Mytilus edulis: one gene and its partners. The protein of the gene in region 1 binds, or shares a complex with, the protein of each later gene. Links are inferred from orthologs where the notes say so. Each region holds a gene or a part of one and is shown in the gene's direction. Other genes may lie near its edges.

Evidence for each region.
Region 2: the proteins of DNA replication complex GINS protein PSF1-like (region 1) and DNA topoisomerase 2-binding protein 1-A-like are in contact, whole or in part, in a cryo-EM structure (PDB 8OK2), measured with the Homo sapiens proteins. The link is inferred for Mytilus edulis from reciprocal best matches to the Homo sapiens genes GINS1 and TOPBP1. Residues at the interface, in NP_066545.3 of Homo sapiens: Asn43, Gln44, Val47, Asn48, Lys51, His66, Arg91, Tyr94, Gly95, Ser96, Asn100, Arg103, Phe104, Arg119, Ala122, Met125, Glu132, Gly133, Leu134, Asp135, Thr137, Gln138, Asp139; in NP_008958.2 of Homo sapiens: Leu490, Leu491, Ser492, Gln493, Tyr494, Glu495, Asn496, Leu586, Ser587, Arg588, Thr589, Val590, Val596, Cys601, Glu602, Val603, Ala605, Thr606, Val607, Gly608, Val610, Lys629, Pro636, Val637, Pro638, Val639, Met640, Thr641, Arg726.
Region 3: DNA replication complex GINS protein PSF1-like (region 1) and DNA replication licensing factor mcm2-like share a complex: the UniProt entries of both Homo sapiens proteins name them as parts of the CMG helicase complex. The link is inferred for Mytilus edulis from reciprocal best matches to the Homo sapiens genes GINS1 and MCM2.
Region 4: the proteins of DNA replication complex GINS protein PSF1-like (region 1) and DNA replication complex GINS protein PSF3-like are in contact, whole or in part, in a cryo-EM structure (PDB 8Q6O), measured with the Xenopus laevis proteins. The link is inferred for Mytilus edulis from reciprocal best matches to the Homo sapiens genes GINS1 and GINS3. Residues at the interface, in NP_001085502.1 of Xenopus laevis: Met1, Phe2, Cys3, Glu4, Ile7, Ile10, Arg11, Leu13, Gln14, Ser17, Asp18, Gly19, Gln20, Leu21, Glu49, Arg55, Asp57, Leu58, Pro60, Thr61, Lys63, Phe64, Arg65, Cys67, Cys68, Arg71, Arg74, Cys75, Val77, Ala78; in NP_001080618.1 of Xenopus laevis: Trp2, Pro4, Tyr5, Met6, Pro7, Val8, Glu16, Asn17, Phe18, Leu19, Ser20, Leu21, Glu22, Asp23, Leu24, Leu25, Ser27, Gln28, Ser37, Phe39, Pro40, Arg41, Leu42, Phe44, Leu45, Pro63, Trp65, Leu66, Gly69, Leu70.

The regions. Positions count from the first base shown.
Region 1 is NC_092352.1:54,417,420-54,422,948, reverse strand, and holds DNA replication complex GINS protein PSF1-like, read left to right. Parts: upstream 1-4,249; 5' UTR 4,250-4,322; coding exon 4,323-4,913; 3' UTR 4,914-5,001; downstream 5,002-5,529. Other genes in the region: prolyl 4-hydroxylase subunit alpha-2-like, read right to left, coding at 1,160-1,332. UniProt on the Homo sapiens protein: Required for correct functioning of the GINS complex, a complex that plays an essential role in the initiation of DNA replication, and progression of DNA replication forks.
Region 2 is NC_092353.1:31,999,167-32,007,101, reverse strand, and holds the start of DNA topoisomerase 2-binding protein 1-A-like, read left to right. Parts: upstream 1-4,923; 5' UTR 4,924-5,036; intron 5,037-7,747; 5' UTR 7,748-7,777; coding exon 7,778-7,870; intron 7,871-7,935. Other genes in the region: zinc finger protein 1-like, read right to left, coding at 627-652, 1,056-1,104. UniProt on the Homo sapiens protein: Scaffold protein that acts as a key protein-protein adapter in DNA replication and DNA repair. Composed of multiple BRCT domains, which specifically recognize and bind phosphorylated proteins, bringing proteins together into functional combinations.
Region 3 is NC_092344.1:14,624,075-14,631,852, forward strand, and holds the start of DNA replication licensing factor mcm2-like, read left to right. Parts: upstream 1-4,754; 5' UTR 4,755-4,862; coding exon 4,863-4,868; intron 4,869-6,102; coding exon 6,103-6,302; intron 6,303-7,778. UniProt on the Homo sapiens protein: Acts as a component of the MCM2-7 complex (MCM complex) which is the replicative helicase essential for 'once per cell cycle' DNA replication initiation and elongation in eukaryotic cells.
Region 4 is NC_092348.1:25,067,623-25,074,774, forward strand, and holds the start of DNA replication complex GINS protein PSF3-like, read left to right. Parts: upstream 1-4,142; 5' UTR 4,143-4,207; coding exon 4,208-4,307; intron 4,308-7,152. UniProt on the Homo sapiens protein: Required for correct functioning of the GINS complex, a complex that plays an essential role in the initiation of DNA replication, and progression of DNA replication forks.

The DNA.
Region 1 (5,529 bases):
CATTGCTAAAAGTGTAGAGTGTAGCAGTTTTATTGAAATTTCAACAAAAGTTTTATACTTTTATTACTATTATTTGTAAAAACTAAAAGATGCAGATGTCTTCTTACAATGTATATAAAATTAATATTTTTATTGCTTATGGTAACATTTGGTGTTCAAACTCCTACAATAGTATTTTCCTGTTCAATGAGCTTGGTTATTTGGAGCGAAAAATATCAGATAAGAAACATGGAAAATAGTACCAGGCGCGGATCCAGAGGGGGGGTTCCAGGGGTTGGAATTCCCCCTTTTTTTGGACGATCAATGCATTTGAATGGGGACATGTAATTGGAACCCCCCCCCCCCCCTTTGTCCTGGGTTAGAAACCCCCCTTTTTAAAATGGCTGGATCCGCCCCTGAGTACATCCTGTTTTCTGCTTAACAAAATCAAAGCAATATACATATGGAAATTTACAAACCTTTTGGATCAGATACAACTATAAATGGAGCAATTTTATCTTTAAATTGGTATTTTACACCTACATGTATTACTGAATATTATGCAAATGTTTGGGATAACATTTTATCTGACAATATTTTACATGTACATTTTTTGTAGTATTAAAAAAATAAAAAAAGGAAAATTTGATATGCTTGTCAATGCAATGAGACAACTATACATGTACAGGTCACTAGCTAGTGACCAAGGATCAACATGAATAAGGGATGAAGACATGGACATGTCATTTTGGGATACCCATTTATTCAATTTTATTTTTACAAAATGGAAGTAAAGGTCCTCTTTAAAAATCCTCTTATGAACATGAGGAATTGTCAACTTCTAACCAAAATTGTTTAATAATATTTTATGAATTTAAATAATTTAAAACTTTAAATGACTTTTGTACATCCTTTCGAATATGAATCTAAAAAAATTGTAGAAGAATTATCTTAAAACAATCATAAAATAACTCTATTTTGTATCTACCAGTACCACACAATCGAATGATCAGCTATATAGCCATACATCAAGACATGTCAAACTGACAACCTACAGGACTAGATACAAGCTAGGTACAAGTGTACTAGCCTCAGTTAATCATATAAAGTCTGGTGGCTATTATTATTATTATTAATGTATATATTTTAGTTTTATTAAAATAAAAAGTGGTATTCTCACCTAGAGAGTGCATCCAATCTTTGTTTTTCTTCTCTTACATATTCTTTTATTCTTGAAGAAATTTCTCTCTCTGCAAATAAAGCTCTTTCCATGTGGGCCAAAGATGTAAACAGTTCACATCTAACAACTGATGCCACGCAAATAAGCAACAACAAATACCTCTGATTTGTCATTGTTCCTGAGTTAGTCTTCAAAACTTTGTTGTTTATTTTTTAACAATTTGTTTAATAGTGAATGACAACTTCAGTACCAAGTAACATGAAGGGTCTGAGAAATCACCAGAAAGTTCCACGTTGGATGGTGGCTTACGTGCACAAACTCTTGCGTAGAATCTTCAGGAATCTACACACACACACAACATCAAAGAGTGCCCCTTATCAAATTACATTTCATTGATGGGCTATTCCATTGTTGTAGGGAAAACAGGTGTCCCTGTAGATATATGATCATATATTATGAAACAAATCAAAGAGGTTTATAAAGATTGAAAACGTCAAAAACAGAGAATTTTTAATTGCATAGATTTCTTTTGTACGTGCTAACTGATGCACAGTAAAACAGCTTTATTTAAAAATCACATCATTTTATTAGCCCTGGGAGAAAATAATTTTCCAAAGGTCATGTTGATATCACGTGATTACCTCTCGGTCTGGGGTCCTAATCTACGCTTTCAGTCGGCGGCTAAGAAGTGAGTTAGGATCCCAGTTTAATTATTTGTCGGAGCTCCTCGCACTTTTTCATTGTTTAGAACCATGAATGATTTGATAATAACGGTCTCACTAATTAGCGACAACAAGCGTCAACAAGCGACAAGAAGCGACAACAAGCGTCAACAAGCGACAAGAAGCGACAACAAGAATTATTTTAACGACAACAAGCGACAAGAAACTATTTAGCGACAAGAAAACATTTTTTTTTAATTAAAATTAATTATTGCAATAAATATTAAAAGAATATGCAAAAGAAAATAATTTTAGCGACAAGAAAGTTAAAATTGATAGAAAAAAATGAAACATTATTTACATAATATTTTATCATCTATTATGAATAACAGCCAGTATTACGTTTAATTATTGTATTATGAGATTACTTTTCCTTGTGTTTTAGAACAAATTATTTATTTTATAATTTGTTTTTTAAAACTCTAGTCTTTTCGTGCAATATATATTAAGCTCGCAAAATGAATTATTTGTGCATCATTGTCCTGAAAATATTGACACAAATTGTGAAATACAAAGAACTGAAATCAAACAGGAGGAAAAGAAAATTGAAATGTGAATGTTTTCATCTTTTTATTTGTTTATTAATGCCTCATTAAACGATATTTATCATGTTTATGCATATTGATTGAAGATGAAAGGAAATTAATGACAATCTTGAGTTTTCAACAGGTATTCACTATTTACAATGATTGTATATTCTGGCGCGTGTAATTGTATAGTCTGACGCGTGTACAAGTTGAAGGTGTTAATTGGATGTTATTATAGCAATAAAACAGGGGACACGCGACTCGTTAATCTCGTTTGATGTTCCACATTGTGTGTACTGTTATTACCTTAGGGTGAAGCCACATCTAATGTTGTTCCTATCAAGAACAATGAATTATACTGTTAGAAAGGAAATAATATTTCATGTTTTTGTTTCAATAAATCCTTCAAAGGAAAGTTGACCTTTTTTTGTTTTTGTTTCAATTTTATAGCGTGTGCATTTCCTTTGCTCTACCAAGCTGACTGAAGCCATTCAACTTTTATGTTTAGTATAAAGTAAATTGTCAGCATTTCAGTATTATTCTAGCAAAAGTACGTGCTCTGTGCAATTGCTAGTATCTAAAACGCAACTCGGTTTACCTTTGATTAATAAATCAGTTACTTTGTACGTCTTTGATACTGCGCGGTATCAAACGAACCCTTTGGTACAGGGTTTCAATTTCCTTTTGGGCAAGGGAAAAACTTCGATAAATGCATATTAGAAGTATTATAATTATACTATAGTGGACACGTCCGTTCATGATATCCCCTTGGGCAAGGGTAAATATTGAAACGCACTTATTTTGTCACATCGCCGTGTCAAACTGAATCCCTTGGGATAAGGGTTTTCCTCTTGAGCAAAGGAAATAGTAGGGAAGTTATACCTTTGGTTGAAGACAGGGTTTCTAGACAAATATTAAATGAACAAAGCATGATTATTAAAGAAAGAAACCCTGTCCAAGTCTCAACAAATGGCAATTGTCTCTTCAATTCTTTGTCAGTGGACATGTGTGGCAATGAAAGTCTTGCAACAAGACTGAGAGTTTTGACTTGTATAGAGATGGTGTCAAATAAGCTAATTCACAAAGAAATAAAGTTGCAAGAAAGTCTTGTCAATGGCGCACTTTATGGACATGGAGACTTTGAGCTAAGCTCCTCAGTAAGCCATTTTCAATGCACAAAAGCTCTATGGCAGATTAAATCGGAGAAAGAAAAGGCTTTTGCATTGCAAAAATTCTTGACTCATGGGTCTGGAAACACGCTTAAATAATAAAGATGGCAAAGCGTGGCTGAGAGTTCTACAAATAAAGCATCGAATTGACATAACAAGAGTACACTTAGAGCATAGTATTAAGCAAATGAATCAAAATATTATATTCCGTTATGCCCGCTCCATATATATATCTCCATTCGTTTATTCATACTTTGACTTTGATGAAAACAGATACATACATTATCTTATACATATTCTTCATATTTAAAAATAAAAAAAAAAGAACCTCAATCTCTTTCTTTTTCACAAATGTTAAATTTCTTCATCTACCAATATACTAATATAAACTTCACAATCTCTTTCTTCCTCACAAATTTATGTTTCATTTCTTCGTCTATCTATATAATAAAACATTTTAATTAGACATATCTGCTCGTATATTTTAAAAAAAACATTAAATACAAATTTCTTTATATCTAATAAAAAAAAAATATGTTTTCTTGTCGCTAAATAGTCTTCTTGTCGCTTGTTGTCGCTAAAATAATTCTTGTTGTCGCTTCTTGTCGCTTGTCGACGCTTGTTGTCGCTTCTTGACGCTTGTTGTCGCTAATTAGTGAGACCCGATAATAAAATGTTCCGAGGGGAGTTATAAATGGCGGGAATTTAAGTTGATAAACAGTCACATACATTGAACATCGTAGAAATGTTAGCCGAAAAAGCTTTAGAGCTCATTGCTGAGTTACAACGAACAATTGATAGCACACTTGGTCCATATAATGAAGATACAGCCAGACACGTGTTAGAGGAGATGAAAGCTTTGTTTGAACAAAACCAGAAGGATGTCAGCGCCACAGTTGCTGGAGAAAATGGTTTGTTTTCAGGAGTACAACTTCGGCATGCTGCTTTGGAAAGGAATAAAAGGTGTCTTTTAGCATATATTTATAACAGATTACAACACATTAAGAAGATGAGATGGGAGTTTGGAAGTGTACTGCCTTCGGATGTCAAATTGAACCTAGGTGAACAGGAAGTTCAGTGGTTTGGAAAATATAACAAATTGCTAGCAAACTATATGAGGTCTATAGGAGACCACGGGGGACTTGATCTCACACAAGATCTTAAACCACCAAAAACTTTATTCATTGAAGTCAGGTGTTTGATGGATCACGGTGAATTTGAAACTCAAGATGGTAACATTGTATTGTTGAAGAAAAATAGCCAGCATTTTCTATTGAGATCTGAATGTGAACATTTAATTAGACAAGGAGTTTTGGAACATATTGTCCATGGTTAAACACTGTTGAATCAAGTTTATTTAATGTGCAATAAGCCAAAAGCAAGTGTGTAACTTTTATCAAATAAAATCAATAGACAATACCAGACAGTATTTGGATTAATTCTATTTCATTTAATGTAGGTCACCTGGCCCAATGGGTGAACTGATTAATATTGCCCTTATTGTTAGTTATTTTCACAGCTACATGTACATGTATGTCACAGAAACTCGGTTAACTATTAATTTTTTCCAAGGAATATGTCTGTTGATGGGTAAATCGGCTAATGCAACAACAGTATTAAATTCAGGGTTTTAACTTGACTATTGAATGATGAGAGCTATTGAATAATATTCCACAACATTAATACATGCACATGTTTATCAAACTTAACTGAATGTCGAGCAAATATCAATCATCAAATATGTATCAAGCTCAAATTGCCCAAAGTCTGTTAACATGTAGTGAAGTCTTTGGAAGGTCTGTCATAAAAAGTTGAGTCTCCAGAGTCCAAGTCATGCAAATAGCAAAACATATTGTTATGCGTTTACTTTTCTACATTGGCTAGAGGTATAGGGGGAGGGTTGAGATCTCACAAACATGTTTAACCCCGCCGCATTTTTGCGCCTGTCCCAA
Region 2 (7,935 bases), on another chromosome or scaffold:
TATGACCTCGAGGCTTAAAATAGAACATGGGAAACTTTACCTGTGTAGACATCGAGGTTTATTTTTAAATCAAATTCCATAATATAAACACGAAAGAAACTGTTTTAAAACTTTATTTCAATAACACAAAAGTAAATATGAAATAATAACGAAAATAAGGATGCATTCAAGAAAAATATACTTACCAAATGACCGTTTCCGGTCAAAAATCTCGTCAGTTTTAACTAAGCATATCTAGACGGCAATAATTTTCTATGCAATAAACCGAAAGGCCACTTGTAGAGCTATGCATATAACCGGACAATTTAACATTAGATGAATGGGAAATGGTTTTGTGCAGGAGAAAACTATGCAATTAACCGAATTATGCTATTAAGCGGTATGCAATTAAGTGGAATCGACTGTATAAGCTACATGTATTTAATCACTAATTCTAACCCCTCTATCAGGACATCAAACAGAAAAGCATTATCTCATGAAATTTGATTCCTAACTTTAGATATCTTTGATACATAAATATATTCATTAAACAGGAAGATGATGGGCAATGAATCAAAAAATGTGTCACACATGATCTTTGAATAATAAATAATTTCATTTGTGTAAAACTACAAGTACAAACTTACTGATCCAATAGATCTTCCTCTTTGAGCTGCAAAATAAAAATAAAATGCTGGAGTCTGATATAAAATACAAACTAATCAAACTTCAGCACAAAAACAAGGAGATTGAAAATTTATCATAAAAAATAAATTCAAATGTTGTAATATTACTTGCACTAGTTAGCCTTTACATTTAACAAACATTATCAAGTTCAACAATGACAAATAACATCCCCTTTACACTAAAACAATTACAAGTTCAACTATTGCAAAGCTTTGTCTAAATTCTAAGTTACACTTATAAAACATGGCAACATCAGTTTGATTCAAAATGTAAAAAATGTTCAAAATGATATAAACATGATAAACATGATGAACATCAGTAGAATACTATTTCATGTATTTATAGAATATTATTCAAGTTGTTCAATGAATTACTTTTTATTGACTTACGTGTAACTGGTCGCTCTTGTGTGTGTGTTCGTATGAGAGGTAATGCCATCTCTATTAATACTGGTTCTGTAAGAGATAATGCATGTAAATTATCAAAAAATCATTGCATAAAGTCTGAATACATGTATGTAAAGATAGATGGATGATGTAAACAGCTTGTACAAACACATTCAGATAAACCATCAATAAGTACTGTATAACTGAACATATTGATCATGATTGATTATCAAAATATTCAACAGCAATACAATAAAATATTATAAAAAAGAAATTGTCCTGATTCATGATAGGCATCAGTCATGGGTAATCAACCAAATTACTCTTTTACCTTTTAAAGCAGTTTCTGACTAACAATTTAAATAACAGAAAATAGGAAAGATCTCCTTGCCCTTTTTTAAGATGGTGGTCCATCACACTTGTTGATATATATATATATATATATAGTGGATCCATTTGCTCCCAAAACACATAAGCCCACTGGGTTCTTTCGAATTTGCACCCTATTTTTGTTCAAAGAAAGGCTATATTACATCCCAATATTTATATTTTCAGGAGAAAATAAATCTTAATCTTATGAATGAATTATTGGGTTTTTTTTGTTGTGATTAATAGATGTTTTATCCTTAAATGTTCATGATGTTGATTATTCATAACTGATTATTTGGTATTAAAAAGCTAATATGGTATTATTGTTATGTATTTTGACATTCATTTTTGTTGTTATAATGACCTTGAATTACAATTCCTATATATCGTCATTATTATTCCTGATAAATATATTTTTTAATTGGGAACAGATTGACTTTAAATATGGGACAGGATCGACTCGGGACAGACAACATGGAAGCAAGACATGTAGATGGTTGTTATGCTGTACATGATGCTGTATAAACTATTTACCATGTTTTTCACTTGGAAAAAAATATTTATACAGTCTTCACGCTTAGTGGCAGCCCATGATGGTAAAATTGCTCTGGGGCCTGTAAAAATCAGACCTACAGGCCAACATAATCTTAACTAAAACTTTCCAAAAATTGAGCTGTGGGCCTGTAGGTTTAGCAGTTCAGCGTGAAGACTGTTTATATCATATAAATGTGCTTTATTTGTGGCATTCCCTTCATGTTCCTTCACCTCAGATGTCATCATATCATACGACTAACAATGATTACTCTAGGTAGAAATGATATTTAACGTTAACCATATTGCTGTTTTCTTGAGTACAGCGCCAAATGTTTCCAGAGAGCATGATTTTCTTGGCAAAGCCATATTGTCTTCTCCAAGACTTAAGCTGGGGACATCTGAGACGCATGGCAGCGCTTTAGATCAAAGGGTTAAGGTGCTGTAGTGTAGAATCACGCTCTATAGTTACACAATTCAAGTATGGCGAACGCAACCTATAAAAGTCATGGAAGTGGGGCTTTCAATTCTAGAACCCTTCTGGATAACCCTTTACAGCTTAACCCTCTTGCTTCCGGAGGGATACATATGTCAGTCTACAACCACTGTGCTGGAGGGACACATATAAATGTATGTCCATGTTTTGATTTATGCAAGCTTCTGATCATTGCTGTTCCTCTTTCAAAATGAAAGACCGAACATTAATATGTTTCTACAATGGCTCTCACATGTAACGGTCATTACAACATGACGTCATATATTGATTGACGTCATTGTTTGGCATTTCTTGTCACAAACGTCGAGTGGTCGTATTTTCTGGCATATGAAATGCAACCCTGAAAAACAACTGGCAGCAAGAGGGTCAAGAGTGCAAAATTCATCACAGAATTTGCACTGCCACTAGGATAAATAGTTAATAATTTTATGAAATTATGTCTATTATTTCTTGAAAAAAATGCATTTTGAGCTACAGACTGTCTACTTCTACTTTTACCGGATAATGGCCACAATCAACTAATTGAATATTTTGCCATGACTTCGGTGCGCATACGGACCCCTCCCCCCTCCCCCCATATTGTTTGAATTTAGTTCAGCTTTGTCACCGAGGCTTTAAAAGCCTCGACTGACGGCGCTGACACTACCCCAGGAGGTAGACTGTTCCAATCTTTGATGGTTCGTGGAAAGAAAGAAAATTTCCGGTAATCATTTGATGCTGCTGGAATTTGGAAGCTTCTGTCATGCATATTTCTTGACAATCGTTTAGGTGGAATCAAACGATCTTCCTTTGTCACAGCAACTTTCTCGTTTACTATTTTAAAGAGCATGGTTAGTCTTGCATCTTTTCTTCTTTGTTCAAGTGATCTCCATTCTAGGTTGTTTAACATCTTGCTTACACTTGAGTGATTTTAGTGTTTATTCATCACATAACGTGCTGCACGTCTCTGAACCATCTCAATTCGGTCTATTTCTGTTTTGTTGTATGGATCCCATACAGACGTTGATCCGATGTTCAGGTTTTGTTTTAGAAAGCCGATTGTTCTATTGGCTTTGTTGCAGATGTTGTTAACATGGTCATTCCATTTCATTTCGAACGTGAATGTGCAGCCTAGGTATTTTGCGCTTTTGACAAGTTCTAAAGTGTGACCATGTAGTTTGTATGATGTTGCAATGGTGTTGTTTTTCCGGCTGATGGTGAGTACATTGCACTTGTCTGGGTGGAAGGCCATTTTCCATTTGGTTTCCCATATTGCCAATTTATCTAGATCTTTTTGTAGGTCGTTGGAATCTTTGTCGTTTGATATTGTAAGGTAGTCTATGGTGTCATCAGCAAATAGGCGAATAGTAGATTTAATTCCATCAGGCATGTCGTTGATGTAAAACAGGAATAGCGAAGGCCCAAGGACTGAGCCTTGGGGTACCCCAGATTCTACATCAATATGTGATGAGCTCTCTCCATCCACTACTACTGCTTGTGTCCGATGTGATAGGAAGCTAGCAATCCACCTATTGACATTTCCTCTGATTCCGTAGTGTTCGAGTTTATGAACGAGTAGACTGTGACCAACTTTGTCGAAAGCTTTAGAGAAATCCATAATTAGTACGTCTGTCTGTTTACCTGCACTCATGTTTTTAGTGATGTCGTCCACAAATTCAATTAGCTGGGTTTCACAAGAACGTTTGGAGCGAAAGCCATGTAGTAATGGGTATAGAATTTGGTGGCGATCTGCATGGTTCATGATATGGCTTGTGATTATGTGCTCTATGAGTTTGCAGCATATGCAAGTCAGAGATATTGGTCGGTAGTTCTCTGCTCTATATCTCTCGCCTTTCTTGAAGACTGGGCTAACATTGGCATTCCTCCAGTCAGATGGTACATCCCCTGTTTCGATTGATGTTTGGAAGATCAGTGTGAGTATAGGGGCTATTTCCTTCGCTAGCTCTTTCAGTAAATCTTGGTCTTATGTCATTTACTTCCTGTCTATTGCTTAGTTCTAACCAAGTCATCATATTCGTTTCTAAGATCACCTGTCAGTGTGAGAATTGATATAATTGTCAGTAATAATTTCTTGCTGACCCGAATGATGGCTAAATAATTTATTCAACATTTGTTCAATGCCAATTCCAATGGGCAAACAATATTTTTGATGAGTTTTCAGCGATTCGAGGTGATTAAAATATATGCAATAACACGTTGGTTGGGTTTTGTCATTAATATATTTGCATACGATCTGATTTAAAGCATGTTTTTAGGGATATAACTACCTTATTATTTCTCACTTTTCGGCATTGACAAAAGAAAATGAAATCTCGTAAATTCTCGTGACGCGATGTATGATCATGTATACAAATGTTATAATATTTTTTTTTAATTCCAATAATTACAATCTGTGTGAAACCCTTTACATTTTGACCACGAAAATTGTTACTAAATTAAAATTAACTTAAGAAAATTAATTATATATTATTTATCACGTTTTCGGCGGGATTTGCACGGCAGGCGGTTTTTCGGAAATCCCCGAAATTCCGAATTACATTTATTTGTTTTGAAAGTTTAAGTTAACAAATGATTTAATGAAAACAAAGGTAAAAAATGAAACAGATGTCATGAAATTTCAATGAAGAAACAAACATAACCCTTTAACTGTGTCACAAAGCCACTGAAAATAACAGTAGCATTTTCCCTAACTTTTGACAGTTTTACAAACAACATGCTGTCAGTGCATCATCTGTGAAAATCTCAAAACATAAAAGTTTAACATGAAATTGATTGATTAATACAGATTTTTTTAGTAATTTTGTCACAGGATTTTTTTACGGAGTTTTTGCTCTGTCTACTGATTTAGTTTATTTGAAAGGAACAGTTCTCTGACTATACTTTCAAGACTTTTCAGCCACTAACTGCAGAAGTTGCTATATCCTACTGTATAACTAGATGTTAGAGGAAATGAAATAGCTGATAAACTAGCTAAAGAGGCAAATCAAATTCAAAAAGAAGCTCATATTACAGTAACTAAACAAGATATTAAAACAGCAGCAAGAATTTTAGTAAATAAAAAGTGGCAACATAGATGGGATAATAGTGATACAGGAAGATTTTATTATAACTTTCATCAGACTGTCAGCAAAAAATCTACATTTGATTATCCAGAACATAAAACAGCAAAAATTATTAGAAATTTAAGATCCGGATACTACCTAAAAAATTACAAGAACAAAATCAATCAAAATATAGACCCCAAGTGTGAATGTGGTCAATTAGAAACTGGAACATTATTTATTATTTTGTGAAAATTATGAAGAGGCAAGACAGAAACTTATACATGAGATATACTTTAACACAGGATCGTTGCATATTGATTTGGAACTTTTATTGTCAATAGAAAAAAACGACAATGTCTCCGTCTCTAATGAAACACTAATGCGATTGTTGGGTGACTTTATTTGCGAGTCGGGCCGGTTTGATTAATGTAATGTTAAATTTTTAAATTTTTTTTTTTTTTTCCTTTAAATTTTCATGTTAATAAATAAATGTATATATCTTTTTAATTTTTGTAAAAATATGTTAAGCAGTTGCCACCTAGTAGTATATATCTTAAAGTACAAGTGAGTTGTTTACCAGAGTGAAATATATACACGCGAGACTTGAAAAATTACAAGGGAGACAATCCAGTGTCAACAGCGACACCTACAGAATACTGTATTCTAAAATCGGTCATCTTGATGGGAATCCGGGTCCGTTCACCCAGATTCATGTTCACCCAGGGTCCATTCGCCCTGATTTTTATTTTTTTCTAGTTGTTGTCTAGTCGCATTATTTTAAGTATTTGAACAAAGTATTCTGTATTCAAAATATGTTAAAGTTTGAATGTTTTTTTTTAAATTGACAGAATATTTATATTGCCGCAATCAATTTATCATTTTCCCTTTGATTTGCAGAGTAGAAATTTCAATGTATTCATCTTTATTGATATTTGTTAACAAAATAATTGTATTCGGTCAATCACAAATGTATGGCAGTATGACTAGTCTTAGACTTAGTAGAGTATAAATAAATGAACTTGTAAATTTTATCCGTTTTTAAATATTAATCCACCAAAAGACAAGTATCACAACAATCAGTGATTTGAATTATTTTGTCATTGAACAATTAATTATCCTAAACAAGCCTTAAACTTTTAAATATTTCAATATTTCAAGAATATACATGATATACATACCATAGAAATATCTAAATAAGTTAATTCAACTTCAATGCCCTCAATATTAATCTTTTTATAGTAGGGCGAACAGACTCTATAGGCAAACGAACTCAGAGCGAACGAACCTAGGGGGAACATGTTATTAGGGCGAACGGTCCTGATACAAAATGTACCTCTTGATGGTTTCTTCAGTATTTGTGTTTGTTTTTATCACATGGGAAAACTTCCCATTGACGTCACTACTCTTATACCAGCGTTCAAAATTAGTGCAGAGTACGTTATTTTTTTACTCTTCTAAATAAAAAAACATTTCTAAAGATATGTTTTCATTGTTGAAATAAAAATGTTGTATAAAAAAGTATTGTATAAAATGCCATTTTGTTAATGGCTATTTCAAACCTGACTTCTGAATGCCTATTGGCTAAAACATTTCAGAACTTCCCAAAATCCCACTTCCTGCCTCCATATACCTAATCACTATTTATTCCATTCCGGATAAGTTCTAAAATTACACAACTTTTTCATCCAGTTGAAGCTTTCTGGGATCCTGTTTAAACAATGCACCGTGCATGATACTTTTTAATGAGACCTGTTTAAACTACCGTATATATATATATTTAAATGTATATCAATAAAAAGTACAGTAGAAATAACATTACAAAGTATGGCTGAAATGTCCCTTCATCAGTCAGCGATTATTGGACTGTTGTCATCTGTAAATCTTTGTGATGTCCAGTAATAATGCTATAGACTAGAAAACAGGTGTTTTATATAATGTATGTTTTTATTTTAGATGATGCAATGCTTTTTGTTTTTGATAGTTATGTGTGTTAATCAATGCTTATTGAATTTGCTTGTCTTCAATAAAATCCAAGAGTAACTAGCTACCAGTCTTGTGAGTAGAAAAGAAATTCTTTTGACTACAGGCTTTTTACATGGTTTAAGTAAATAATTATTTTAGATCCATTATAAAATTATGGCACCTGTCCCACAAGCAGTCCAGTTCGAGTGCTAGGCCTATTAACAAGCATGGAAAATAGGTTTTAAATTTGCTTTCATTGTTCAACTTATTACAATAAAAATTATTTTTTTCAGCTTTAGATTGTTGTTTAAATAATATACAGAATGTCTGAAGGGGACTTTAAAATGTTCTGCATCAGAACAGATGGCAGCTCTGGTAGAAATGGTGCCACTAAAGCTATGTTTGATGCATATGCAGTAAGTAAATTTATATATAACATTTTCAGAAAATGGCTTCCAATTTTATTTGTTTGTGCATGCAG
Region 3 (7,778 bases), on another chromosome or scaffold:
AAAAACAAACATGTAACACATAGTGTAAACAAACAACAACTACTGAATTACAGGCTCCTGACTTAGGACAGGCACACACATACATAATGTGGCGGGGTTAAAAACATAAGAACGAAATTTAAAAATCAGTTGAAAAAGGCTTAACTCATGCTTAAACTCCACTTATCTTAAACTCTGTCGGATAGTTGACTCATTGACAGTCATACCGCATATCCTTATTTTATTCTGGTATGAACTACCTTCAGGTGAAGTTGGGACTACTCCATGTATAAAAATAATCTCTTGAATAACATATTTAAGATACAAAAACTGATATACATGTATGTAATTTCAATCAAATAGTGTATTGATGAAAACCCAAACGTTGTCAAGCATCAATTAACACAACACATGACAGTAAAACATTTGTCACGAGAACCCAACAAGGATAAATCATGTATGGATGATGTATGATATGGTGGATATGGTTACGTCTCTATCTAATTTTGATATATCCTCAGTTTTGTTTTACGTTTTATTTACACCAGATGAGTATTCCAATATAAACAACATTACCCGATTTTGTTTAAGAAATACAACTGCAATTTGTCTTATAACAAAATTCAAAGACATATATACTTAACTTGTTGAAGTAAGTAAAGATAAGAAGATGTGATATGAATGCCAATGAGACAACTCTCCACAAGAAACTAAAAAACGTAGAGGGCTAGCAACTATATGTCACCGTGTAGTCTTCCACAAAGAAAAACCAATCTCGCATAGCAAGCTATAAAAGTTTTTCAAAGGAAAATGTTAAAGAGTTCAAACGCAAAAACTAAAGGCCGGATTTATCTACAAAACAATAAACGAGAAGCAAATATAAGAAACACACATCAACACAAAACCACTGAATTACAGGCTCCGGAATTGGGACTGTCACATACATAGTGTGTCAAGGTTAACATGTTTGCATACGTGCCAACCCTCTCATAACCAGGGACAGTGGTGTAACAGCACAATATGTAAGAACAAACTATATAGATCACTTGAGAAGGGCTAAAAACTCTTAAAAGCGATACACAGAACAAATCAAGAGACTAAAACTAAAAAAATATAAATCTGAGACTACTCGCAGTATATCTGAAAACTAGTTCACAGTAAATAAGAAATAATAAGAAAATCATGTACCTAAGTATCTAGGTTGTGTCTAAAACTAGGCAATTATCAATCAGTACACGTCCAACTTTAAATGGATTTAGTGTAAAGACGTCATTTACAGTCGAGAAAACATTACCTTCTGACAAAACAAAGGTATTGGTATATGCTACTATGAAATTATAAAGATGTAAAGCGCATGCAGGAATCTGATAAGATATGCTGTTTCGCATATATCTTTTTGTCACTTACAAAGCTTTAACGTTTGAGATATTTTCTGTAAATCTTTTCATTTGACTATTGGACTTATAATGAGTACGGTTTATGCTGTTGTGAACCATTGCATATTATATTTCTTGTATAAAGGGGAGATTAAATAGTTTGCTAATTTGTAGTTTGAAGCAGAACTTATATGTTTTTATATTTTTTTGCATTAAAATTATGAACAAATGCATTCTGGACATTGTACAAGAAAAGGCCCTTCTGTATACTGTTCATGACGTTGATTTATGATAGGACACACGATATAAGTGTAGGATGACATAAACTTATATGAGTACTTTGTGTTTCCTTTCGGTTAACTGCAAGTATTATTTGATACGGTATTTCTTATTTTTTGGGGTATATAATTATTGGTTTTTATCTTTTATGCATCTGTGTATCATTAGGGAGAAAGGAATTCGAGTTCTAAATAAAAAAAAAATCGCCATAATTCACAATCCTGAAACTGTCCTGAGTAGCTGTCTTTTGTTTTATTCTTAACATATTGTATAACAAGCTGTCGTGTGTTGAAGATAATATTGACAACTAACATCAAGGTTTTTTTAATCTTTTTTATCTTGTGCCTGGTTTTGTTGAGTTTGTGACGTATTTATTGATTTAAAATGTCTTCAGTAAGTTAAATCTTAGGGAAATTGACATTATCGAATTTATAGTTTACATATAAATGGAACATTAAGTGTGTACACTATCTTATATCAAAGATAACTTATGACCACAAATGTCGAAAATTCTACTGGAAGAAGTTTCTGGGCAGTGGCTATTTTACCGGCTCCGGCAAAATAGCGATTTGTATAGAGTTTTGCAATTTTGCCGGTCTCAATTAAGATTAAAATAGAATTATAGAAAGTAATAATATAAAGAATACAGAAACATACACTTTAATAAGAAATCTCAGAAATCTCTATACAACTATATCTTCTTTAAACATTTATACAAAACGTTTGATATTCTTTACTTTAATAAGAAGTCTCTAAAACATGTCTTATTTTTTAAAATGTATACAAGTAACTTTTTTTCTTAAATAGGAAGCCTAAAAAATATTTCTTTTTAAAAAATATATAATAGACACAAGCAAAGCATACGAACCCATATTAAAAAATCGACATTCTGATTAAAACTTTTAATAAAATTATCCAATTAGTTTTGAATCAAAAGTTTACACCCAACAAAATCAAACTGCTGTACGAGCGCTACAAAACCAGTGCCTTGCTTTTTGGTGAATTTCTTTTAATTCTGGCACCAGTAAGGTGCTGCCACTGCAGACATGAACTGAACATAACACTTGATTTTTTAATGTCTGCATCTCTTTTGCAAAAATTGCAGATATACACATTTCAGTATTCAACATTCATAGAATAAATATCTAGATTTCTATGAACATTATTTTTTTTTTGTCAATCTTATATTTTATTGCACCATAGACTAAAGATTATTTTTAAAGTTTTGTTTGGTTTTCATAAATTCTATATAGTCATCGTTTCACGTTTCAAAGTACTCCAAAAACCGGCTGTAGCTCTTCATATTATCAGTCAAAAATCAAGTTGATTGATAGCAAATTTATTGTTTTCCATTTTTTTTTTCAATCTTCAACAGAAATTAATGTATGTACATGTAATTTGAAGAGTGCAGTTCACAAAATTGAATGACTAGAAAGGCAACTGAGGTGAACAAAAAGGTTATTGACATCATCTAGCCGGCCACATATATCATTTGTGCATAAATAGTTTCTTAAAAAAAATGTTTCATATAGTCTTGATTAAAAATCTGAAATAAGACCGACAAAATACCAAAACTATACAAATCGTTATTTTGCCGGAGCTACGGCCAATGACAAAACCTACCAGAGACATGTTAAGTATATAATATGTCTCTACACTTGACTGAAAATTCCACCAAAACGAAAACATATTGAAAAGTTGTGTATAAAGGAGAAAGACACTATACTAGATTTTACAGTGTTATCACCATAAATTATAGTTATGGTACCAAGTATTGTATCTTAAAGACTTAAAATAATCTATTCCATAAATATGTCCCACCGTGCATTTTATATTGGCAGTGTCTGCGCGTACCCGCATGCGGGTACGAATAGTCAAATTGCCGTTCTAGGCTGCGCGTACCCACATCCGGTTTCTAGGCTGCGCGTACCCACATCCGGTTTTCTATTGAAATGCCATCGGTTCGGGAATGAAAAGTGAAATATATACGGAAATTATCGATAATGTGGGGATTTCGCGTAGAACGAGTGAAGAGTATGAAAAGTAATATTTTCAAATTGTATTTATTAAATAATGATACATAATAAACATTGCAAAATTAAATGCACAATGATGGAAAATGAAACTGTACAGTCCCTGTAAAAGAAAAACATGATAGAAATTAATACTATTATAAAATTTAAATGAAAATTTAAAGAATAAAATTTTAAATATTTAAAAATATACCCATATGATATTTTAAAATAATCTTTTAGTAAAATGTAAAACCGAAACTGAAATTTATATTAAAATATATAAAACATTTATGTATCCAATATGATTGTTTTGGCACAGATTTCAACCCAGCACATTTCAAATGTTGCCATTCTAAACAGCAATCACATGCCAACGAGTCCTGATCGTGCCCGTAGGTTTTTTTTTTACACTTTATACATATCCAGTCGCATGTTTCCCTTCTTTCAGTGATCTTAATTTTTAGTTGTAACCAAGCTTACGTTTTTAAAAGAAACACCAAGAATCAACCCCCCCCCCCCCCCCCCCCCCCCCCATGAATGCAGGAAAAATTTATTCTGTTGTACTTTAAATCTTCTTTAATTTTTGTGATCCGGGGTTCTTCTTGTCTCTGCGGCTGCTATAGACTCCGAATTTCTTTTATACAATTGTATGAAATTTAACGCCTGATAGTTCTGTACATTTTAAGAATATTTACTAACTGAGAAAAAACTGTTTACTTACCTATATATATATATATATGTGTATATTTATAAAAATTCTGAACAGTTTTAATCAATTTATTTACTAATTGCAACACATTCTGTATATTTTTCACGTTTCATTCCCGATCCGACGGCATTTTATTATAAAACCAGATGTGGGTACGCGCAGCCTAGAAAGGCAATTTGACTATTCGTACATGCGGGTACGCGCAGACACTGCCTTTTATATTATTTTTAAAGATCTTTATGATAAAACACTACATCTGGGACATGGAAAACTTTTTAACACTCAATTGGTTCCGTTAAATAATGCAAAGTTTATAACATATTCTTAAATTTTCATAAATATTCGTATGTGGTTTTGAAGAATACGATAATAGTATGATCTTTGATTGTTGCAAACGTACGTTGACGTTGGTAATAAGCTTTACCATTTTAAACTTCCTGTTCTGTGACCTATTGACCCTTTCCCGCGCTTAAGTTGCACATTGTGAAGAAAAAAAGGAAAACAATGGCAGTAAGTTTTGTTGCAATATAATCTATTCTACGACAATTATAATCATTTGAAGACATGATCTTTAAAGGCAGTTTTAAACTGTGCTCATGAAATTTCACAGTTTTAAAGCATCAACAACATAATCATTGTATAAAATTTAGTGAAAGTTTGTCTTCGGTGAGTCCTTCGTCGTAAAATTTTTCAAAAGGGTCCACAAAATTTATTCTGATTACATACAAACCATAGGCCTCCGCTATCTGTAGACATGAATTAAAACCAAGATATATACAAGTTCGTACATGTGTAAAACTATTACTACCTTACCTCTTCAGGGTTTGATATTGGCAGGGGCCCACTTGGCAATACACCTTAATGTCCTTAAATCTATTCCTTGCTGACTTGAGAATCTGTCCCGCTTGAACTAATGACGCCACATAACAATCACTTTTCCATTGTGGCGTCAGATATAATGTAAAATTATTGTATTATGAAGTCAAAATTTTACAGGAACCTTTGGGATCATCAGAAGTCCAGTAAAGGCGAACAAAAAGCGATAGGACTTTAATCATACATGTAAGGGCTGAGTATACCTGAAACGCTAGTGCCTACTTTAAAGTTTTAAGGGTATCACTTGAACAACTCAAGTTGCTATTCAGAACAACTCTATAAGTAACTCTCTCTATATGTATAGCTATTTTAAGGCCCTGACGAGGCATTAAACAAAAATCTGAATGGTTTGGTGTCATTCAAGGGTTTCTTGAGTTTAACCATAGATGAGTGAGGATTTGAACCGGGGTAAGAGGGGTTAACTTGAGAGGTTTTGACCATAATATTGGAGGCAAACATTTAAACTAAAACCAACCAGATACCATATCGGTTTTTTTTTCACGTATAAAATTTCAGGATTTTCATTGAAAAAGGTATAATAAATATTTTGGCGGTTATTATTTTAGTGGATTAAAACTTTAATCAATACCTTTGTATGTGCATTTATTAATCGGCAGAATTATTTTGGAGATTTTCTTTTATTGCGAAAACAAGCGAAAATTAATACCCCGCTAAAATAACTTACTTCACGTTAAGATAACTGGGGGAACTGGGGTGATGAAACATGTTTTCAGACTAAAAATTATTTTTTGTATATTGTAGTATTTTAAAGATTTTTACTGTAATAAACAAGAGAAAATCTGGAAATTTTTACTGTAACATGCAAGAGAAAATCTGGAAAGTTAATATGCATTTTTGTATATTTCAGGAAGAAACATCATCAGATCCATTTTCCACAGCCACAAGTCCTTCTAGGGGTTCTAGAGGGCGAAGGAGTAGTCGTGGGGACCCACTTACTTCCAGTCCTGGACGAGATTTACCTCCCTTTGAAGATGAGAGTGAAATGGATGCTGGAGTTGCTGAGGAAGAGGCAGATGGAGAAGAACTATTTGGAGATAACCTGGAACAGTAAATATTTCTCCTTAAAAATCTGAATGCAAAAAACATGACTAGACACAAATCTCAAAACCCTACCAAAATATAAGGATTGTGTCGCATCAGCCCTATCCAAAATTAGGGTGAACTCAGATAAACAGATACTAGAAAAGTATTATGCAGTTCCTGACTTGTTGACATAACACATTTGTTAAATGAGTTATTTATGATCCTCTTTCAGAAATACAGAGCATGGTGCCATTTAATTTCAAATATGACTGAATACATATATACATGTATTTGAAAGTGTTTATAATTTATGGTAAAATTGGTTCAGGTACATGTAGCACCCTTTACCTTTCAAACTTATCTAGAACTCTTCAAATTAACTCTTAAGGTACTGTGAAAGTACTTTAATTCGTGGGTATCAATTTTCGTGGTTTGAACAAAATTTACATATTCGTGGATTTCAGTTTTCCAAAAAAAGAAAAAAAAAATCAAAAAAAATTAAAGCCATTAGCAATGAAGGTTACAAATAGTCTGGATTGAGGAAATTGCAAAGGAAACATTGACCCGTGTAAATCGTTGTGATAACACTAACCCATGATAAAGTGATCAACAGATTAAAGACCATCAAAGGTGTTAATTAGGCCATAAACATGTCACCTAAAGAAAACAGTAATATAAACAAGTGCTATAAACGTATCTTGAATTGTCAAAAAATTCTTACCAAAATCAAGCTCAGCATGAAACTATTATTTCCCATATGTACTAGAGTAGATCTATGAGGATATAAAATGAACACTTATCATACTAGCATACCAATGCCGAAAATCTGACTTTCATCGATCAAAATTATTTTTATGATAATTAAAAGATGAAAAGTTGTACAGTTTAGGTTATTAAAGATAAAATGGGTATAATCCTGCATGCTGTTGTAATTCTCTGACTGCTATAAAAGTATTCACAGATTTGGCGTTATTTAATATATTAATATATTCTCTTAATCATATCAGTAGTCAAACCTACTGATAGGGATCTTTCCATGTCTTGATTTGGACAATGGTTGTTTTATTTCGTTGGACACTTAAATTCGAGGATAAAGTCATCCATGAAAACCATGAAAATTGGTACCCCACAAACAAAAGTACTTTCACAGTATAAAAGAGACTTTAAGTCACAGGTATGTTTCTTTCAATATTTCCCAACAAATATTTGAAATGAAACCTATAAGAAATTCATTTAATGTAAAAGTGTACCTTCTTCTAAGTTCACATAGGTTGCAATCATATTAAAGGTAAGCACCTATATGTAGGATGATGACATTGTTAGACGAATATTTTCAAACTTTAAGATTCTAGAACTCTGCATTTTTTTTCATCTAAAATTATTGGAAGAATTTCTTACTCCATTTTTTGCAATGCAAATGTTTTATACATATATTTCTCTCTCCATTGTGTAAGAAATGATTTGCAAAAACCCAGTTATTTGAGTCTTTGATCCATTTTT
Region 4 (7,152 bases), on another chromosome or scaffold:
TTTGTATTTTTAAAATCTATATTTTAATTAGATTGTGTATTTTCTCATTTGTTATTTTCCTCCCAAGATCAAATTAAGGATGGGGTCGATTACTTTCAAAATGTAATCGACGAAATTACAATTACTTTAAAATTGAGAATGAAAATAAGGTAAAGTGACAACAACCCCAGTCGGAAACCAGGTTGAAATAGAACAAAAGAATCGAAGCTCTTTGTTAGAGAAGGCGATAAATGTTTACTGTATTGTTTACTATAGTGACAAAATTTTTAAAAGTTAATAAAAACAAACAAAATTGCAATTTTCTTCTCAATTACGAGGTGTTTTATTTTAAAAACACCATTTCAATTTATCTAGTACATAGTTAAGCAGAACAATTAGATATCAAGTCGACGACATGGGTATCTTTCAAGTTGGATGAAGAAAATGCATAACCTCCGATTTTTATGAAAAAATTACCACGGACGGAAAACATATCAATCTATTAGTTCAGTAATTTTCGTGTCTGCCCTTCCATTATGTGACTGAAGAAAAAATTCCAAAAAATGGGTAACAATTGCATCGAAAAGAGAAAATCGAGTGCACCTTTTTATGTAAGGGCGTGTTTGAGTTAAATATTTTGTCTTGATATCGTACAAAGCAAGAATATTTCATACATCGTCTCGCTTCAGATTCTATCATTTTTATATATTAAAGCTAGAGGTTGACTTTATAACACAAAAAAATCACAGTACTAAAAGATGAAATATATGGGTCAAGTGAAATACCTAACTCATGAGTCACAAAAACAGAGAAGGTGTGTTCGAATAGCTATTTTTTTACTGAAAGTACTTGACGACAGTCTTTCAAGTTGGATGATGAAAATGCATATCTTCGAAAAAATCTAATTGTTTGTGTGTGATTACTAGGGTTTATAGTCTTCATACACTAAAAAAATCTAGTCTGCCCTTCCACGAATTATTTAATTAGAATTTTTTTAAATGTTTATGAATTTTCGAAAATTCCACCTGACAACCGATCAGACAATAGTTTTAAGTTGAATCAATGCAGACTAGATTTTTAACTGATGCTCATTAGCTAGTTAATACATTAGTCTTTTAAAATACAACTGACATATAAGGATCGTAATGGTGCAATGTGGATAAATTTATCGGTTTCCAAGAGCAATATTGGTAGCGCGTCATCCCTACAATGGCTTCCATTTCTACGATTGTGAAAATGAACTGGCGTAATGGGGAGATAATTTTGACGAAGTAGACTCCTGACTGAACCCGACCAAAGAGCAGACAATAACTAAACGCAACCAATGGGTCTTCAACGCTGTGGGGAAAAAACACCTTGAGGTTGGCCTCGGCTGGCCCCTTAAACATGTTTTGTCACATCTCAACCTCCCCCTATACATCTAGCCAATGTAGAATAAAGAAACACACAACAATACTCACAGAAGAACTCGGTTTAAAAGAAGTTCGAAAAGGTAACAAAAGAAACTAAGCAAAATGACAATGATACATAAATTAACAAGGGACTACTAGCAGGTATTGACATGCCAGCTTCAGACCTCAATTAAATTGATTGAAAGATTATGTGTTCTTCAATGAAAATCAAGCAAATATAACTATATAGTAAAGGTTATGTCTACAAAATAAGCACATAATGAAAACTGTTGTCTGGTTCATAAAAAAAACGTTGGTGAAAAAACTGTTAAAATAGGTGCAATTAGGGTATCCTCACGTTAGCAACTTCACACCTACAAATAAATTTCATGACCAAAATAAAAAAAAGTCTAAAACAAATATCAATAAAATGCTTCGTCGAGCGCAGCCTGATACAACCGCAGATGTAGATTTGGCATATAGAAAACACCAAGTATTGTATGTCAGTTGAAATCAGACATATTTTAATTTTGGACCCTTCAAACTTTAATATGGACTAATTTGAAAACAGGTATCAGGTTAGCCCGAACATCTCAGTTGCAGTAGACTAGGATCTGCAACTACATATCTCCTGAATTTCATATGATAGTCCCACAAAAATGTTTAAAATGTGTAAAAAAAATCCTAGCTTCTCTCATGTGAAAGTCACGGGTACCTTTTTGGTAACTACTTTATGTGATGCGACTAAATGTGAATTATTACACTTTATAGTGACTAACCAGGCCAAACAAATAATTCTCAAGAAACATGCAGAACAAGAATGTGTCCACAATACAGTACACGGATTCCCCACTCGCACTATCAATTTCTATGTGAACCGTGAAATTGGTATAAAAATATAATTTGGCATTGAATTTAGAATGATCATATCATAGGGAACATGTGAAATCAGTTTCAAGTTGATTGGACTTCAACTTCATCAAAAACTACCTCGACCAAAAACTTTAAACTGAAGCGGGACAGACGAACGAACGAACGGACGGACGGACGAATGAACGAACAGACGGACGAACGGACGCACAGACCAGAAAACATAATGCCCCTCTACTATGGTAGGTTGGCCATAAAAAGAAAACAACTTGGAACAGCACCAGCCGTGCCAGACTATGTATGAATAAAATCTCAGATTGGAATAGTATGGAGGATATCGTTTAGTAATTAATATGTCATTGTGAATAGCAAAGAAAGCTATCAATAATCCTGCAGATAATGCAATTTTATCAGGTAACAGCCTGGTTTATCGACTAAAGATTTTCTTATCTCAGGAATAAATTACCTTCGCCGTATTTGGCCGCCAATTTTTGGGAATTTTTGGTCCTCAATGCTCTTCATTTTTGTACTTGTTTGGCTTAAAAAAATATTTTGATCTGAGCGTCATTGATGAGTCTTATGTAGACGAAACGCGCCTCTGGCGTATAAAATTATAATCCTGGTACCTTTGATAACTATTTACACCACTTGGTCGATGCCACTGCTGGTGGACGTTTCGTCCCCTAAGGTATCACAAGCCCAGTAGTCAGCACTTCGTTGTTGACATAAATGTCAAATATATGGTCATTTTTATATTTTTCTGTTTTAAAAACGTAATTTTTTTTTTAAAACTAAGGATTTTCTTAACCGTATTTCGCACAACTTTTTGGAATTTTGGGTCCTCAATGCTCTTCAACTTTGTACTTGTTTGGCCTAAAAAAACAATCTTGATTTGAGCGTCACTGATAAGTCTAATATGGTCTTATATCAGTATTTGCTACATAAATATATAAATGAGAAATAATCAATGTAAAAATGGTATTTTTTTTCAGAAGAAAACCTAAAACAAGTTATGGTAAAACAACCCCAAAAAGACCCTGACTTCTAAACTGTTGGAACCCCTAAAATCAATTTATTATAACCTTTTTTTTTGTGTGTATAATTGAACCTTCTGGTACAATTTTATAGAGATCCATTCACTTTAACTAAAGTTACTGCCCGGAAACCAAATGTGTCTTCGGACAGCAACGACGTAAAACTGGCTTTAAACTATAACATGAAGTTGATGTAAAAACAAAATCATTTGGTCAAAATTTAACACTGGAAAGTATGGGGAATCAGATTATCTTTTTTAAGAAAAAAAAAACATACTCCCTCTAGCATTTTTAAGTTTAATGATCGTTCCCTAAACATTTCCCACCTGAACTTATTATTTTATTTTAGACAAAAACTATATGTGGGGCATTAGTCCTGAACATGCATGAATTATTTGCCACTGGACGTTAAGCAAACCAACAATAAATCAATATGTAGGACATAGTCTTTGTATATAGCTGGCATTTAAGGTAGCGCCTTCATCAGTATTACAAAGAGCACTTTAACCTTTGGATCGTTTGATTGTCCTTCTTTTTAGTATAAATACCTTTTTTTATATAAAAAGAAGCTTAGGTCAGTGCAAATTTTCAACTAATAAAAATCATTAATGAACAAATAATGAAAAATAACCATGTTAGGAATAATTATTTCTGGCTACGTGCAAAGAAAAACACAATCTATGACTAAGGTCACTGGTGTTCTAGCAGGAATAGCTCATGAGTAAACTAACATTTGCAACCACAACCACAGAATACAGCACTCGGGATCAATATACATAATGTATCTACTGTTGCTTTGTCCATGGTAGAGCATCTTTGTTCACACAGACAGGACCGAGTTCGGAACTGTAAATGAGGTTTTAGGCAATTTTAACATACCGGAAATGTCAAAAGACGGAAGCGCGGAATTTTAAAACGTTGAAACACAAAGAAATGACAAGTGAAAGTGTCGATGATTATTTCAGTATTAGTGACATTCTTACAACACAAGAAAGATTGCCATGCAAAGTTGAACTACCTATTTACAGATTAGGCAAGAACACCGCAAATATTCCCTAAAGACGAACCTTTTTGGTGTTTGGAAAAAGGGGAGGGGAGAAATTGTATCTTGCCTGTGAAAAGTGTGATCCTGTCTCTCTGTTTTACAGGAGACACGAATATGAGATAATGCCATGATCGCAGGCTTAGAATAATTCTAAGACAGGTGGTCTGAAAAATACTAAACCTTTTTGAAACCCCAGAGTAATCTATGAAAATAAATTTTAGGACATCAGGGTACCAGGTACAGTTTCTGTCTGGATGGTATCAGATCGTTCTGGCCTCAAGTCGAACCGTCCCAAAGTCTATCAGCCCACACATAGCAGGCCCCAAGTCGAACCCTCCCAAAGTCCATCAGCTCACAATCAGGCCCCAAGTTGAACCGTCCCAAAGTCTACCAGCCCACACAAATCAGGCCCCAAGTATATCCAGCCCCATAATATTAATTAGGCACTGGCTACAGTAATATGGAAATGTAACAATAATAAAAATATTAGACTAATTGCTGGAATGTAAGGTTGGGTAAGGAACCGATTATTATTATGAATGTAACAATAATTATCAAGTCTACGGTTACATTGCCTGATTGTTACATTAATTCACTTCAATGTATGCTGGGACTAGTGATGTGTATTAAAATAAAACTTGCATACAATTTTTAAAAATTTTATTTGCAATATCACATTTCTACAAATTCAATATGTTGTATTTGGGAGCATGCTTTAGTCTGACAAATCTTGGTGCAACAAAGCAGCTATCACAAACAAGTGGTGCAGCAACATGCACGTCTGTATTTCATAGCCTCACCGGACACAATTACGAACGATTTTTGAACTTTGATTAATATTTTTTTATGTAGACTACTTTTCTTGAATTTTTTATACCATAGAATTTAAGATGTATGAAGGCTTTCCATTTTGCAGCATATCCCACATTTTATGCACGTTGGGATACTTTAGTAAGATTTGCATGATCTCGTTTTACGGGTCAAGAGAGCCACATATGGACGCAATTCCGAACAGCACTATATTGATATATCTTGCAGAAGAAATCAATGACAACAGTCTATATTGATAAAGCATACATTAATCTTTATCTCAAACACATTTTCATAGGAAAATAAAAAGCACAAGTTTGTTTTTTTACGTCAATTACTTCAGCAGTGGTTGCAGACGAAATGTCGGTCATGTGTAAAGGAAAGATTTCTGATTTTTTTTTTTTGTGTAAGTTCCTCCTTTAAAGGAGCACTAAATTCAAGTTTATCCATTTCGATGGTGTACTTATCATTCATATATGATTTTTTTTATATTGGTCAACATTTCTTTCGGAGTTCTCTGGACTTTTCAATAAAATTAACGTATTTTCTTTTGACCATACATAGGTTCACAAGAGTCTAAAAAACGTCAATTTGGGGTTATTTGGGCATGATAAAAGGCATCACGCATATGAACAGAATCAGGAGATCTTTTTCTTTCTATATATTAACAAAAGAAGGCAATATGCACTTACCTTTATGTATTTTTTTTTATATAACTTCCAGGTCAGATTGCCGTTCTTATAATATTTTCAAAATGATTTTGTCATCGTCATCAACATTCACCAAGTGCACATAAATTGTATTATCATGAAAACAAGGGATTTTTAGTAGGGTTTTTATTTATAAAAACATTTATTGATAAATATAAACAAATATAATCTCAGAGGGCAAACGTTGGAAATTGTTCGTAATTGTGTCCAGTCGTAATTGCGTCCTGTGGGGCTACTGTACAATTCCATTATGTACTATACTTATTTTTAAGTTTAAAAAACTTTCAATGTCTGTCATGCTTCAGCTGAAAAATTATGTTTTTACTCTTTGATCAAGTATTTGTATATTAAACTCCTTGTTGGTATGTTTATATTTTCATCATTTTTTTGGTTGGAAGCACATGTACATGTGAGGTTGTAGTATGATTTCATTACCGTCCATTACTGATTTTATGTTCACCTCCGATTTCCATATCCAACTTGTCATATCTTAAAAACCCAATAAAACATAAAAATACAAGTCAACTGTGAAGGCAATTGATGTAATAAACATTTGCCGACATGTTGAAACTGGTGGAATCTGTTTTCTTTTTCAGAGTCTAGATATTTTGTGATAGTAATTTCATTCTTATCGGCGAAAAAAAGGAAGCAACAGTTACACAACTATCATGACTATAGAGGGTTTAAGTTGAATCAACAGTTACACAACTATCATGACTATAGAGGGTTTAAGTTGAATTACGCTAGGGTACATTGAAGTGCATTAATGTAACAATAACGCAATGTAACCGTAGACTAAATTATTATTGTTACAATACATTCGTAATTAATCAGATCCTTACCCAACCCTGTATTATGGCAATTAGTTGCCAATGTAGCAATAATAATATTTTTATTATTGTTACATTTCCATGTAACTGTAGCCAGTGCCTATTAATAAGATAATAAATTGTATTTAAAATAGGTAGAAAAATGTAACTGAGGAACCATAGCTCTTAGGTCCTTATGTTATTTTTTGGACCATATGACCACAAATTGTAAAAAAATAAGATAAGGACTTAAGAGCTACGGTTCCACAGCTAGCAAAAAAATGAGAATGATTTGAAAATTTGTAATTTCTGCATATATACTTGTATACAGGTATATGAAGTAAGATACAAATGTAGTGCATTCTTTTTTTCCCTGCAGAAGATGATAAAATAAATGATAATCAGTTATGTTTACTTTTCAAGTACATATAATGTATAGTTTGTGCATGTAATATTTGCAACAGTTTCAGGCCATATTTACTCCATCAACATTAATGAAATGTA